Notamacropus eugenii: one gene and its partner. The protein of the gene in region 2 interacts with the protein of the main gene of each other region in a biochemical or structural test. Links are inferred from orthologs where the notes say so. Each region holds a gene or a part of one and is shown on either strand. Other genes may lie near its edges.

Region 1 (7,828 bases), on a different chromosome or scaffold from region 2:
GCAGCCAGTTGATGAAGTGGATAGAATGCCTAGTCTGGAGTCAAGAAGACTCCTCTTCCTTAGTTCAAATCTGGCCTTGGAGACTTATTAGCCGTGTGACTCTGGGCAAGTCACCTAACCCTGTTTGCCTTGGTTTCCTCATCCATAAAATGAGCTGGAAAGGGAAATGGCAAAAACACTCCAGTATCTTTGTCAAGAAAACCCCAAATGGGGGCATGAATAGTCAGCCATGACTGAAGAGCAAACATGAAGGAGGGTAGAGGGTGGATTAAGCAGATTGCCTCCAGAGTTCTATGTATGATCTCCAAACTGCTTTGTTTAAATATGAACATTTTGACCATTTTACCTTTATCAGAAGCATCTTGATCTACCAGTCTGTGCAATATGTTATTCTCATTCATAAGAGGTTCTTCTACTCTGGGAAGGAATTTCTCTGACTCACCCTCCCCCAGCTTGAGAATAAACGTATTTTAAAACCTCTTCTGTGTAAGCAACTCTTCAGACCCTATTTCTTTTCCTAACGTTTACATTTCAATAACACTTCCCAAAGATGACCCAGTAGACTATTTAATACTTTACCTTTAAGGAAAGAGAACATTAAAAATTAAGCTTCCTACATCTCTATTTAAAAAAAAAAAGTGATGATTCTATTGTCTGTGGGCTACTCCCCTCAGAAGTATCCTTTTCTCTTTAGATAATACAGAATGCCAGTCTACACTGCCTCTAGATGGATTAATGGATGGACTCAGTATTGTCCCTAGACTGAGAATTAGCAGATTTTGAAGACACCAAACTGTTCAAAGGTAAATCTCTTTCCAAGTGTAACTTAAACATGAGGAATTGTTTTTGTAGATTTCACGGACTATTACAGCTCTCACTTTTAAAACGATTTTTTTTTGAAAACAGGAAATAAACCTCTTTGCTTCCATCCCCTTCAGTTCAGAAATCATAAGCGCCTGTTTTACCCCTGGAGATAAAAAGGGGGCAGTTATAGAACATACAGCCAATATATCAGTTCTTTCACTTTGGGGTGATACAGTTAGAGTACAAAGTGGTACAAACTGTCTCTAGCCCTTCAAAATACCGGCTCAGACGACTCCTTTTAAACACTTACCAAGTAAAAAAAAAACCAACCCAGCCTTAGAGCTCAACGGTGCTATACACAGACGAAATCAACATTTGCTAACGTCCTACTACGTGTCAGGCATTATGCTAGTCGCTGAGTATACAGCTATTCAATGTTACCTCAAATTAACAACCTAATAGTCCTCTTAGACTGCGGAGAGACGGCATAGCAATATAACAAAGCTGGTAGCGGGTTGGCCTTGGCACCTGGAAGCCTCAGGTTCAAGTCCGCGCCCTGATACGCATTAGCTCCCTGACCACGAGTAAATCACTTAATCTTTCTCGGAGGCTATAAATTACACATGGGCCTAGATAGGTGGAGGCAGTTTCCTAACAGATACAATCACAGCTCCGACTAAAATTAAATAGCATTTTACAGTGTAATCTCAGGAACTCTGAGCTTTAAGGAACACACTTTTCCTTGGCTTCCTTCTCCTCCCCCCACCCCATCCCCCTCTGTCCCCGGTAGTAAGGTGGGGTGGGAATTCTTGGGGTGGTAAAAAAAAAAAAAAGTAATGCCTGGCCTTCTTGGGCAGCGTGACACAGTCACGCACATACCACACACCACACACACACACACACACACACACACCCCTATAGGTCAGCAAAACTTCTCTAGGAGCAATCAGCTGTTTCCAGGGGTTATTTCGCCACTGGGTGCGATTTTCAGGTCTACTGCACAGCTGGGTGGTGGTCCTACGCCGCAAAAGGCTAACGTATTTCAAAAGTCTGAGAAAGGGAATCTGGGGCGCTACAAGCTCTGCTCTTTGCAGGCAGACTGCTTTAGGACGCCTCTGACCTGCTCAGACTTAGGGAGTGTGCAAAGATAGGTGTGTGGTGTGTGTTTATGTGTGTGTGTGTGTGCGTGTGCATGCGTGTGAGTGTGTGCGCGTGTGAATGTGTTTGTCTGGGGTGCGGGGATTTCGTTTCATAACCTGCTGGGATCCATGTGGAGATTTCCCTCTGGAAAATCAACGTCTTCCCTAGCCAACTTTTAACGTCGCTTTGGAAAGATCGGAGACCGGAGCTCCAACCTTTCAGAAAAAGATCTCTTCTGATAACCAGTCTCCCGTTCTTTTCCAAACTTAAAAAAGGGACTTGGCTCTCCAATCAATCGATCGATCTGTCAACAGGCACGCATTCATTAAGTGCCTACTACGCGCCAGGGACCGAGAAAATTCCTGGGGAGGCAAATGCAAAGAATGCAACAATCTCAGCTCTCTGGGAGCTTGGGCTCTCAATGCACTGTGCACATTCCAAGTCTTTCGCCTTGGGGTTCCTGAGCTCGGCACCTCCATCCTTCTCCTGCTCCTTCTCTTTCTCACGACCAACACCTTCCCCTGGGTGGTGGAAGGGAGGAAGGGTTCCAAATCCCAGCCGAGGTGCTCAGATTCTCCCTACCCTGGGGCACGCACACCCCCCGGCCTCTCCCTCCAGCCCGGTCCCCAGCCCAAGGGGGCACGAGGCGCGGGACGCGTCCTCTACTTACTTGTGTCTTCTTCATAAGGAACGACAGCGCTGCAATCCAGCCCAGGCAGCGGCGGGGAAACTCCGTTTAGCTGTTCTGTGGCTCCAGCATATTGCTCCGGGCGCGGCGGAGGCGGCGGCAGCTGCAGCGGAGGCAGCGGCGGCTGCGGAGAAGCGGAGGGGGCAGCGGCGGCGGCGGCAGCAGCAGATTGTGCACGCATTGGGCAGCCCCGAGCGCTGCGCCCTCAGCTCCAGCCAGGTTCGCCGCCCGCCCCCGCCCGCGGCGCTCGCTCGCTCGCTCTCTCGCTCGCTCCCGGCCAGTCGCCGCGCGAGGCAGTAAGTGAAGCCGGAGCCGGCGCCGGGCCAGCGCTTTTATAGCTCCAGTCAGCCTGCTCCTCCAGCAGCGGCGGCGGGAGCTGCAGGACGGGCTGGCGGGCGGGCGGGCAGGCAGGACACGCCTTCTTCCCTCTGGGAGCTTTGGAAAGGCGAGCGCAGCGGCTGCGAGCAGAGGAGGCTGGATGGGAGGGGAGGGTGGATGGGTGGGGGAGGCCCCTGGGAGGGGGGGGGAAGAGGAGGGTAGGAAAGGGGTGGGAGGGCTGTAAGAACTCCAGTCGGTGAGAGAGAAGTTGGACAAATTAGGCCAAGCTCATCCCATTGCCAGCGAAGGTAACCCGATCCCATCTTTCTTGGGCACGCACTGGCAAGGAGGCTACCCGCGAACAGAATGCGGGAAGGGTTAGAAGCAAGGGGACGCGAAGCTGGTGCCCGCTGCTGCTGCTGCTGGGGCTGCCCCCCGGGACAGCCGCTGAGCCGAGAAGGAGCTACCCTTGCCCTCGGCCCCCAGTGCCCTCCCCCGGGCTTCGGGAGGCTCCCAGGCTCACCTGTCACCTCTTGGGGACAGAGAAGATTCCAAGGAACGCCACTGTTCACAGCTCGCCCACTCCTGGAACCTGCTCTTTCCTCAACGGAGGGTTAAAGCTTTCCATCTCCGCATCGAAAGCCAGCAAAAGATCCTCTCGGCCTTTTACTAATAATAAGCTTTAAAAAGTAAAAGTAAAGTGGGCCCCGAGGACAGTCAGAGTACCAGGATTACTAACACTATAGGAAATGAATTTTACTTAGAGTGAAACAGACTTCCCAAGGCTTTCTAACTTGTCCCTTTTCTAGACTGCTGTTATCGGGATTTTAGTTTATTGTCAGGATGATTTACATATTAAATTTAGGTTTGTTTTTTTTTTTTAGCTTTTTAAAGAATGTGGAGAAAATGGTGTATAAAAGTTCTCTTACAGAAAATGATCTACGTCAATTTGGAAAGAAATTACACAGCCAGAGAGTTTGAAAATAGAAAAAAAAATCCCACCTACTTTAGATATACTTGTATGCATAAGAACAGGGCTCCCCTATGGCATGTAAGAGCCTTGAGGACAGTCTCTTTCATTGGTCTTTCTATCACAAACACCTTAAGTCAGTCAACAGACATTTTGATGGTAAGCCAAGGATACAGAAAAAGGTTCCTGAACCACACTGAGTTCACAGTCGGGGGAGGCCACGGGGGAGATGACCAGAAAACAATTATGTATACATACGATATATACGGATTAAATTGGAGGTGTCCCCAGAGGGAAGGCTCTGGCATTGAGGGGTACCTGAAAAGATTGCTTGTAGAGAGGGAGATTTTAGCAGAGACTTGAACGAAGCCAGGAGGGGGAGGTAAGAGGCAGAGGACCCCAGGTCTGGGAGATTCCAGTGGAAAATCGGGAGACGCAAATGTCTTTTGAGGGGAACAGCAAAAAGGCCATTTTCAATGGACCAGGAATGCACAGAGGGGTTATAAGGCTATAAGAAGTCTGGAAAAGTAGGAGAGGTCAGCTTATAAAGAGTTTTCAAACACGGTATTTTATATTACAGTTCCTGGCTCACACGTTCATCTCTTAAAATATCTGACTTCCTTCAAAACTCAGCTCAAAAAAGCCCCTTTCCTGCCCCCACCACCCCAACATCCTTCCCCTGCCTCCCTCGGCTGCTAAAGCCTTCTCCTTAAGGTGACCTGCAATCTGCTCCGTATGTACCCCACGGGTATCAACGTATTCAAAAGTCTATCCATTTAGGAAGTTCGCTCCCTGAGGGGACTGTTGACCACGTTTCTGTGTTTCCCCAACCCTAAACCAGCGCATTACACATTGTAAGACTTTGAGCAATGCCTGTTAGCTTGATAACTGGTTTATGATCAATTGATTGGCCTGACCTTTCTTTTCACAATCTTGGGAGAATGAAAAAAAAGTGCAAATGTATCATGCATGGGGCATTAACTTTAGGGAATCAGGAAAAGTCCTCTGAAGAAAGTGACCAGGGAAGTGAGGCCAGGGGTTCTTAATCTGGGTTCCCTGACCTTTTTTTTGGTAATATATGTTGATAACTTTTCCATTACAATTGGTTTCCTTTATAACTCTATGTATTTTATTTTATACATGTAAAAACATAATTATGAGAACAGTTCCTTAGATTTCACCAGGTTGACAAAAGGATCCATGATATTCAATCAACATGAATTTATTAATTACCTACTATGTGACGGACATTGTGCTAAGTGCAAAAAAAAAAAAAAAAGGTTTTTGAGAGCTCACTACCTTCATTTTTCAAAGGGATTAAATTAAACCCCTAGAGGTTAAATGATTTGCCCAAGGTCATCCAGGTGGTAATTATTTGAGCTGAGAATGAACCCAGGTCCTCTGATTTCCAATCTGCCTCTTATTCTACTGTGGCATGCTACGGCTTCTATCCCTTCATACATGGTCAATTTAGAAAAATCTGGTTAATATGGTTTATATTTTGTTTACTCAGAATGAATTTAGGGAACACCTGCTAGGACCAGACAAGAAGAAACCAAAGAAATCTCAAAGGCCCCGTAAAGAGGTTAAAGGAGGAATTGAATTCTCAGCTCTGCTATTATGGGTTCCTCATCCAATTATTTTTCTACGCCTTTGTTGCCCCAGCTGGAAGGATGCCTCCCGCTCCGCAGTTAGGAAAATTAATGTTTGCAAAAAGAATTCTTCCAGGAAAAAGGGAAGAGTATTACATGATTACTCTAACTTTTAGTTTAAAAGGCATATATTGTCAAGCAATTTAGAAATAGATCAGAAGGTTGACTGAGATGTCTTATTACTGAATTCAAATGGATGTCTTTCTGTCTCTGTGTGTCTCTGTCTTTATTTCTGTCTCTTTGTCTCTGCCCCGCTCTGTCTCTCAGTGTGTATCTGATTCTCTCTCATTGTATTCGTAGATCTATCTCTGCCTCTCTGTGCCTTCTGTGTTTCTTTCCGTCTTTGTTCCTGTCTCATTCTTTCTGTCTCTGTATATTTCTGTTTTTGTCTATCAACATCTCTGCCTCTCCTTCTCTGTCTCTCTCTTTCTCTCTTTGTCTCTCTGTCTCTGCCTCTCCATCTGTCTCTGTCCCTGTCTCTCTCTCCCCTGCTTTTTCTTTACCTCCCTCCAAATCCCTATTTTTATCAGACTTTGTGGATTTTATAGACATTCAGGAATATGTACTTCAACCCATTTAAAAATTGGAGGAAAAGGTGCCTCTGGATATTGTGAATTGAGGAGTAGAATGGTAAAATGAACGGGGCACTGGATTTGCAATCAGGAAGCTTTGGATTTCAGAGACCTCACCCCAGTCCCTTACCAGCTGTGAGACCCAGGACAAGTTTATTAATATCTCTGAGCCCCAGACAACTCCCTAGGATTTATCTTCTAAAATCAGAGAGTAGAGGGAATTCCCCAGAAGGATGAGGGGTTTCTGTGTGGATCTGGGTGATGCTAGCCAGCTAAACACAACCTTAATGCAATCATTCTCCCCAGGTACCATATGTTTCGAGTTTACATTGCTAGAATACCCCTATCAACTTCTTTCCAAAAAAGTGCCATGTCTGAGTCCATCACTGTGGTAATTAGAAAATGGGAAGACATTAAAAAATGTGGCTATTTTTCTGAGTCCTCCAATCTAACCTTTGAGAATGAACCCCCCTTCCCCCTTCTCCCTCTCTCCTTCCCTCAGTCTTCCCCTCTCCTCTTCTTTCCTCTCTCTGTCTTTTCTCGCCTCCTCTTTCTCCTCTGTCTCTTTTCTTTCTCTTTCTCATCTCCTTCCCTCTCTCTCTCTCTCTCTCTCTTTTTCCCTCCTCTTTTTTCTTCTTTCTCTCCTCTGTGTCTCTCTCCCCTCTTTCCCATCTCTCTCTTCTCTTCTCTGTCTCCCTCTATGTCTCTCTCTCTCTCTCTCTCTTTCTCTCTCTCTCTCTCTCTCTCTCTCTCTCTCTCTCTCTCTCTCCCCTTACCACTCTACTCTGTTCATAAAGGCATCTGTGGCCCTCCATTGTCCTGAGGGTAAGATACAAATTCTTCATTTGGATATTTAAAGCTCTTACCAATCCTACAAAGTCTTTCATCCTACCCCTCCAAGTATTTGTACAACCTATATCGGATATGTGGAATGCCTTCCCCACTCACTTCTTCAAATCCCAGGCTCCCTTCAAGGTTTTACTCAAGTGCCATTTCCTTTAAGAGGTCTTTTCTGATTCTCCTAGTTGTTAATGACCTCCTTCCAATCACTGTGCATTTATTTCATATATAACCTATCCTGTATTTACCTATCTGTCAACCTGTTTCCTTCCTCCCCAGAATGTAAGGTGGTTGCTGTTCAGTCATGACTAACTTTTGTGACCCCCATTTGGGAATTTTCTTGGCAGAGATACTGGAGTGGTTTGCCATTTCCTTCTCCAGTTCATTTTACACAAGAGGAAACCGAGGCAAAGAGGATTAAGTGACTTGCCCAGGGCCACACAGCTAGTAAATTAGGCTGGATTTGAACACATGTCTTCCTGACTCTGAGCCCAACACTATCCACTGTACCACCAAGCTGACCCAGAAGATAAAATACTTGAGGGCAAAGATTATTTTACTTTTATCTTTATATTACATATCTAGGACAGTATCTGGAACATAGAAGGTGCTTCATGAATGCTTGTTGATTGATTGATTACATAGAATAAATTTAATCTCTTTTTCCCACAAGACAGCTATTCCTATTCTGTTGCACAGTCTTTAAACATCACCTTTCCACATACATTCACATACTACCACCAAGCCATTGATTCTGCAAGCTATATTTCCCCAGCTTCTTTAACTATTTCAAATTTGACATATCTGCTAATTTCTCTCTCCATCTAAATTACCCTCATCTGGT
Region 2 (7,421 bases):
GAAGGAAGAGGCTCTTTTTGGAATGTAAATTATGTTTTGTCGTAAAAGTGGGTACACCCCAAGAGTTAAGAACTACTTTGTTTTGTTTTAAATTTCTAAGAAAACTTCTAAGAAATGTACCCTCCCATTTTCTGGGAGGGAATTATGTTGTTTTGGGAATTATGTTAGGCACAAATATAAAATTGGGCAAAATGAAATTTAAGGCAAAGGTAGACCGACAGACTTTAGTTCGAATATAACAAACACTGTATCCAAATCTAATGCAAGAAGAATTTTAGGATCCAGTATATGTAAGGAACAAAGCTGGGCTGAAATGACAAAAAGCCCCTGACCTCAAGAAACATATTCTAATTGGAATGCAAGAGATTCTAAGGAAAAGAATGGGGGAGTAGAAAGGGAGAGGTGTAGAATGGAGTTAGGTAAACTGTCTTCCTTTTTCATATCCATCATGTTTTCAGCAGTCCCAGAATATCTTCTGTCCTCTGTCTCTGGATGGTTCTTGCCCAACACCGCAGCAGCGGCAGGAAGAGGGACCTTATGATTCACTGCTGCTGCTGGCAGTTTCATCCTGCTTCTGACATTAATTCGGGTAGAAAGCTGCATCAATGCACACACACACACAGAGACAGAGACACACACACACACACACACACACACACACACACACACACACACACACACACACACACACACACACACACACACTTTTCTTACCACCTAAAGGAAAGAACACCAGGAGATCCAACCCTGCAGGGAGAGAGGCTGGAGTAGAGTTGGGAGTCTGAGGCACCAGGTAAAAAATTGGGGGGGGGGGGCCTCTGTATACATCAAGTGTATCAGAGGACATACATTAGTTCTGAGCCCAGGTGACGAAGAGAGGCTGGAAAAAAAAATTCGCTATGCAAAAAAGTATATTGAAAGAGGCAAAGTATCAAGCAGGAGAGGAAATTGACTTCACAGAGGACCCCAAATAGACACTGTTCTGGCTTGGCTGGCTGTCAGCAGAGCTCTGCTGAGATCTAGCTGTCCTCTCCAAGGGCACCGAGGGGGCTCAACTGCTAAGGCTAGATGCTCCGAATGCGTCAGGGAACCCAGTCCGGCGTTTCCATCCCAGTCCAGATGAGGACAAGAGTCCGGAGCGCCGAGGTCTCTCCTCCCCCCACAGGAAAAGCTTTACAATGCCGAAAAACAAACATCTGAGCGGGCACGCTAAGCTTTTACAAGTTGCAGGGAAACTCCGACCCAGTGCCTCTGGTGTTTTCATTCATTCCCACAATAGCGAGTAAATGGCTGAATTCCCTTTTCCTGACCTCAGTCAGATCGGAGGGGGCAGCAAAGCTTTCCATTCACCCTCACACACTAAAAGCCCACGTTTAGCTCTTTTATTTTCATCTTTCAGGTTGCACAAAGGGAATGGAAGCAAAACTCCCTCCTCTCCCGGGAGGTGGTGGAATATAGGTGAGGAATGCCTCATTTATCACGGTCAGGAATGGTCAACATATGTTACTTAGCTGTTACCTTCTTTGTTGGAGAAGGAATGGGTTTTTTTGAGCATTTTTTTAAAGGACACTCTTAAGAACTAGGGTCCTAAGGACCATTTACCACCAGACGGCCACCCAATGCGGGGAGAGGCAGGGAGAGGATGGTGCAGATTAGCAGGCGCTCCATAGATATTTGCAGCATCGAGGGATCAAGGTTCCCTCCAAGTTCCAAACCGCTGCCTGTCGGTGCATGGGGACTTTCCTAGAATCCGCCTTTAATACTAGATCAAAATGTGCTTTTTGGCGTCTCCTCCTACTATCCCACTTGCTGCGCGCCAGTTTCCCTCTTGGGAATCCCTAGATATCCTAAGAATCCAGGGGGCCGAGGAGGCACCGGCCGCAGGTCCCTCCCGCAGCCCAGCGCCGGTGCCTCGTCCTTCCACTGGGAGCGCGCGCCGCTTTAAGTTGGGGAGCGCACCGGGTAAATGGCTCAGCGCCTTCCCTCCTCCCGCGCGGGAGCCAAAGCGCAGGACCCAGCGGCCCCCTCCCACCGCGTCTGGAAGGAGGAAAGGCGGGAGGGATGAATGAGCCTTGCAGCCACCCCAGCAAGGAAGTGGGACGGGATTATTATTATTTTTAAGTCTGCAGCCTCCTTTATGGACACCTCTGGCCGCAGGATGTGCAGCCCCAGACCCGCACGCTGCGGGTTCCCAAGGTTAAACACCAAAGGAGCGTGCAGTTCATTTCCAAAGGCCAGAAGAGGGGGACGGTCCGGAGGTACGCCGGCCACCGCGGTGGGTGACTGCAGGAACCAAAGGGTCTGCCTCAGTCCGTCCCCTGTCCTTCCACACCCGCGTTCCCCCGGCACAAAGGGTGCCCGAGGCTTTGCACAGCAGGCAGAGGCGGCTGGAGGCCAGGAAAGAGCCCAGGAGGGCCAACTTTCCCTTTCCACCGAGCCCAGAACCTGCTGGACTCGGACGCGCCGGCCGCAGACAACTTTCAACAAAAGGAAGCTGCGGCCGAACGCCTTCCAACGTGGAGAGCTCCAGTTTCACGATCCATCCCCCGGCCCTCCGCACCCACGAGCTCCACACAAAAGAAATCCAAAGGCACCCCCGCGTCCGTCCCCCGCAGCCCCCTCTGGCCCAGACTCACTCCCGGTGGCTCCCTCTCAGCTCCACCCGGCCCAAACGCTTTGTTTCTGCCCAAGGGAGCAGGTACACCCTCCTAAGCGCAAGTAAAAGGCTCGGGAAACCCAAAGGGAAGTCTCATGCGTGCCTACCCCTCCAGAGCCCTCCGGACCCGGGGCGCACGAGAACCGCCAGGACCTTCACACGCTCCCCCGGAGCACAGGTTTTGCAAGGTGGATAACATTCCCAGGAAAAATAAGAGGGGGCAGAAGGTGCGTGTAGGTAGCAGCTAACCCACCTGTCTGAAAGCTCAGCAGAATCAGGAGACCCAGCAAATCCCAGGCACCAGGAGCCCCGCTCATCCTGCAGCTGCTCGGGGTCGGAGCTCAGCTCCGCGGTCCTCCTGCAGTCCAAATGCACCCAGCGCGGCACACCAGCGAAGCCCCCGGAGCTGGGAGCCGGGCGAGCAGAGGATAGCCAAGGAGAGCAGCCCCTCCTCCAGCGCCCTCCCCCTGCGCGGCGGCCACGCCCCTCCTGGCTCCCCTCCTCTCCCTCTCCCTCTCTCTCTTCCTCTGGCTCTCTCCCACTTCTAACCCCTGCCAGCCCCCCGCTCGGCTCCCTCTCTCTAGACGTGCGCACTCCCGATCCGGGAGGAGGTCACGATTGGACACCTTCTCCCGCCCCCTTCCAGTCCTCCGGAGCCGCCTTCACCTTTCCTCGGCTGGGCTGTGGTCTGGACGCCGGAGGTGTTTACCGGACTAGGACTGCCTTGCCCGAGTGCTTGGTGAAGCCATTGCCCTGCCCGGCACCACCTGCTAATGAGCCATCGGGGCGGGTGCCTCCACCTGGCAGGTGCTCACTCAGACAATAAGGCTGCTAGGCGCCCGGGCTAGGGACCTGTTCTGGGCTCAGCCCCTGACCAGAATCCCAAACTGACCACTGCAGTTCTCTGCCAGTTCAAGTCATCCGAGGAGGAGGAGGCTGGGAGCCAAACCTTATCTACACTTCCAGTGCCAAGCACAATGGTTGAGAGGGCAAGGCGCTCGATTTAAAATTTAAAAAAAACAAACAAACAACTGATGTTAATTTTCTCCAACTGTATTGTTGGAGGGAAAATGTTCGCTTCTAAACTCGAGGGCTTAACTCTAGCCCGGGAAGCCCCTGCGCTACACTGAGGGCTACGTTTCCGAGATTGGAGTGGGAAAAGGGATTTTTGTAAAGTGTGGGGAGAAGAGAGGATTAAAATGATTGCTCCAAGCCATCCTGAACCCCCTCTTCTTCTGTTGTCTTGTTTCTTAACCCCTTCACAATGGTCACTGTTCCCTATTGACAAAGAGGACCATGCCCATTTCTACGGTCTTTTCAGCATTTTCTCCCACCTTTCAGACTTGAGAGAACAGTACGATTATAATGAGGGAGGCTGGAGGGCTTCTAGCACCTTCCTGTCTATGGACCTTCCAATTCAGGCAAAAATTATCCCACATCCCACGTCCACAATCTCAGGGGATAGTAAGTAAGTGTAGAGAAAGAATGCCCAGACACTCAAATGGGTCAGTGATCTCTCCCTAATGAGGTGCAAATCTCAACTCATTCATGCCTGCTCACCCTCCTCACCTCTTTTCTTCCCATAAATTTGCTACAGAAGTCCAGTCAACATGGGGGGGTTAGGGTGAAAGTTAGGTTAAGGTTTAGGATTAGTGTTATAACATATGCATACATATTTGGTAATTTAGCAAGAACAGAAAGAAAAGAAAACCCATGTATATAATATGTGACTATCTAGAAGGGTCCTAACTGTAAATACCCAGGTTCTAAAATAATGCATTTTTGAACCTAGAATGATTTAACTGATGATCAATTAAAAAACAAAACTTCTTTCTCCCAGAGGAGCACTAGATTAAAGCTGGCTTCATTTAGATGAAGAACCTGCTGCCCATAAAGGTTAGGATTACAAAGGCAGTCAAATCAATAACATTAATTAAGATCTTACTGTGTACAGGGAAGTAAAGTAAGAGCTAGGATTCTAACGCAGGTCCTAGGATCTCCTCCTATAAAATAAGCAGATCTAGTAACCAAATTTGAAAAAAACAGCAAAAATGAAATAACATTTTCTGTTTTGTACATTTTTTTTTCTCTCAAGATGACAGAAAGGCTCGAAGCAATCATGAGTTCCTGGGACCTTGATTTATTTTTTTAAATCCTTCCAGTTTAGGTATGACATGTAGTGGGAGAGGAAAGATAGATGCAAGTTAAAATATCAATATTATGCCTGAGAATAAAAGAAATAAGTTGCAATTTTCTTTCTCCATCAGCTGATGCTGGAGGGAGAGTGAGTAAGTAAGCGAGACATTGCAATCAAGTTCCTGGCAGGACCCTTCTAGCAGAAAAATTCTCAACATGGGCATTATGCAAGGCTGAACTGCTGCCTATCTGACTCACTTTTAATTTGTTCTTTTTATCTGCTTAGCCGGGTGAGGGTTTCTGAGGCACGATCACAACAGATTATAGTCACTTCTCTACACCTGCACCAAGAAATCTGCTAGAATATGCAAATGTCTTGAAGAACACATATACATAAAATTCATAAAATGGGAAATTCTGAGCAAACTACATAAAAATGAGAAACGTGGAGGTATTCATGTATAGGATGTTCTTAAGAATTATTTGCATAATTTTATAATCCAAACTTTTATATCTACCTATTCCAGGAGCCACAAAAATAATAAAATAATTAAACTGATATTTATATGGCATCTGAAAATTTGCAAAAAAAAAAAAGTTTACACCTATTATTTCATTTGAGCCTTGCAACAACCCTGTGAGGTAAGGTGTACAGGTATTATTATTATTGGGATGGAGGAAACTCAGGCTTAGAGAAATTACTTTCCCATGATCACCTGAGGTATTACAGAAAATTAATCTATTATAAATGAAGTCAAATTAAATATGAGGCTGGGTAAACCAAGACATATAATCTGGTTAATCCAAGATGAAAGGCATATACAGATAATTAAAGCAGTGAAACTGACATTTGGGTGTGATCAGTCACAGGTATCACTACTATATAGATATACTTGTATTTTACCTTTTCCCTCCCTTGGACTTCAGCCCGCGTCATTCTTGTCACAGATCATAGGATCATAGATTTACATCTATAAGAAACTTTAGATAACTCATCAGTCCTGCACTTAATTTAGTGGTAGATCTGGTCACTTTTATAAAGCATATTTCAGTATATTTGCATCACAAAGCTAAAATGAATGGAGAGGTTCTTTGCATTATATAACATATCTGATGAAGTCAATTTGGTTAGGTTTTTGGGGGTTGGTTTTTTTGGTCAGTTAGTTGTGTCGGACTCTTCATGACCCCATTTGAGGCTTTCCCAGCAAAGATACAGGAGTGGTTTTCCATTTCCTTCTCCAGCTTGTTGTACAGATGAGGAAACTGAGGCAAACAGGATTAAGTGACTTGCCCAGGGTCACACAGGTAGCAAGTATCGGAGGCCAATCTTGAATTCAGGTCGTCCTGACTCCAGAGTTGGCAACAAATATATGTTCATGAATTATAAGATCATAGAATGCTAAAAGGGACTTCAAAGGCCATCCAATACAACTCAATTTACTCAATTTCACCTCCTATGGGCAAGATATTATACTGGGCACTATTTGCCTAATATAAAGAATAATTTATAATAAAGGATAATTTCCTGACTTCAAGGAGCCATGATCATATATGATCATAGCTACAGAGTTGAAAGGAACCTTAGTGATTCCCCAGTTCAACCCCATCATTTAACAGATAAGGAAAACAAGGCACAGAGAGATTTTTGCCCAGTCATGCAGGTACTAAATGGCAAAGCAAGGATGGCAATCCTGGTTGTTTGGCTACAAACACAATCTTCTTATCTTCCATTGACATAGATTATAACCACTCCAATACTTCAGGAGTGAATTATCTCCATGGATTTCTGTGGCCAAAGAAAACCCATCCCTAGTAGCCAAACTCCTGGTGATGTGCTAGGCTTATAGGATAGGTCCTTGAGGACAAGTCATTACTAGGCCCAGATCTGAAGCTAGTCCAACCTGCCAGACCTCCTTGAGGTTGTGGTCTGTTGGAATAGCCTTCAAGGATCCAGGATAACCTATGAAACTTTGGAATAAGACTTTAATCAAAGATCTTGTGTGTGTGTGTGTGTGTGTGTGTGTGTGTGTGTGTGTGTGTGTGGTGTGTGCATCATGCGCCAGCCTGGCAATCTAGTGACACCTAAGGACTTCACTGAATAATGTTTTTAAATAAATGAAGGAAATAATAAATTTCAGTTAGATGTTAGTAAAAATAAAGATAATTTTTTTCTCCCATCCAAGTTCATAGAGTCCCTGAAATCTATCATCAGACACTCATGATCTGTGAATCTCAGACCTTTAAAATCCCCTAACTTAAAGCATTGCCTCTTATCGAAAGTCTAGTAATTATCTCAACTGTAGTCCTATTCAGATACATCACTGTGGTTCAGGACTGACCTGGGTTCTTGAAAGTTATGCCAAGTGAGCAGGAAAGAAAGTTGTTCAAACATGCCTGACTCTGGTGAGGGCTAGAAAGGTACAGGAACCCCAAGACTGGAGTTCAGTTTGTTGGTCATCTTGAAAGAATTCATGGACTCAAGCATTCTAAAGGTCAAGGTGGTAAAAATTTATTACACTTTTCAGGGGGTAAGAGTTCTTCGGGAACCTGAGACCTTAGAGGGGTACAATTAAAGTTTATATAGGATTTTCTATAGTAAAACATAGGCCAAACGTGCTCACTAGGTGAT

The links.
Region 1: the proteins of KIT (region 2) and KITLG form a complex in vitro, tested with the Homo sapiens proteins (3 studies listed by BioGRID and IntAct, with this or other methods). The link is inferred for Notamacropus eugenii from reciprocal best matches to the Homo sapiens genes KIT and KITLG.

What each region holds. Positions count from the first base shown.
Region 1 is NC_092874.1:270,541,398-270,549,225, forward strand, and holds the start of KITLG (kit ligand), read right to left. Parts: upstream 3,080-7,828; 5' UTR 2,630-3,079; coding exon 2,615-2,629; intron 1-2,614. UniProt on the Homo sapiens protein: Ligand for the receptor-type protein-tyrosine kinase KIT. Plays an essential role in the regulation of cell survival and proliferation, hematopoiesis, stem cell maintenance, gametogenesis, mast cell development, migration and function, and in melanogenesis.
Region 2 is NC_092877.1:106,134,136-106,141,556, reverse strand, and holds the start of KIT (mast/stem cell growth factor receptor Kit), read right to left. Parts: upstream 3,103-7,421; 5' UTR 2,974-3,102; coding exon 2,910-2,973; intron 1-2,909. UniProt on the Homo sapiens protein: Tyrosine-protein kinase that acts as a cell-surface receptor for the cytokine KITLG/SCF and plays an essential role in the regulation of cell survival and proliferation, hematopoiesis, stem cell maintenance, gametogenesis, mast cell development, migration and function, and in melanogenesis.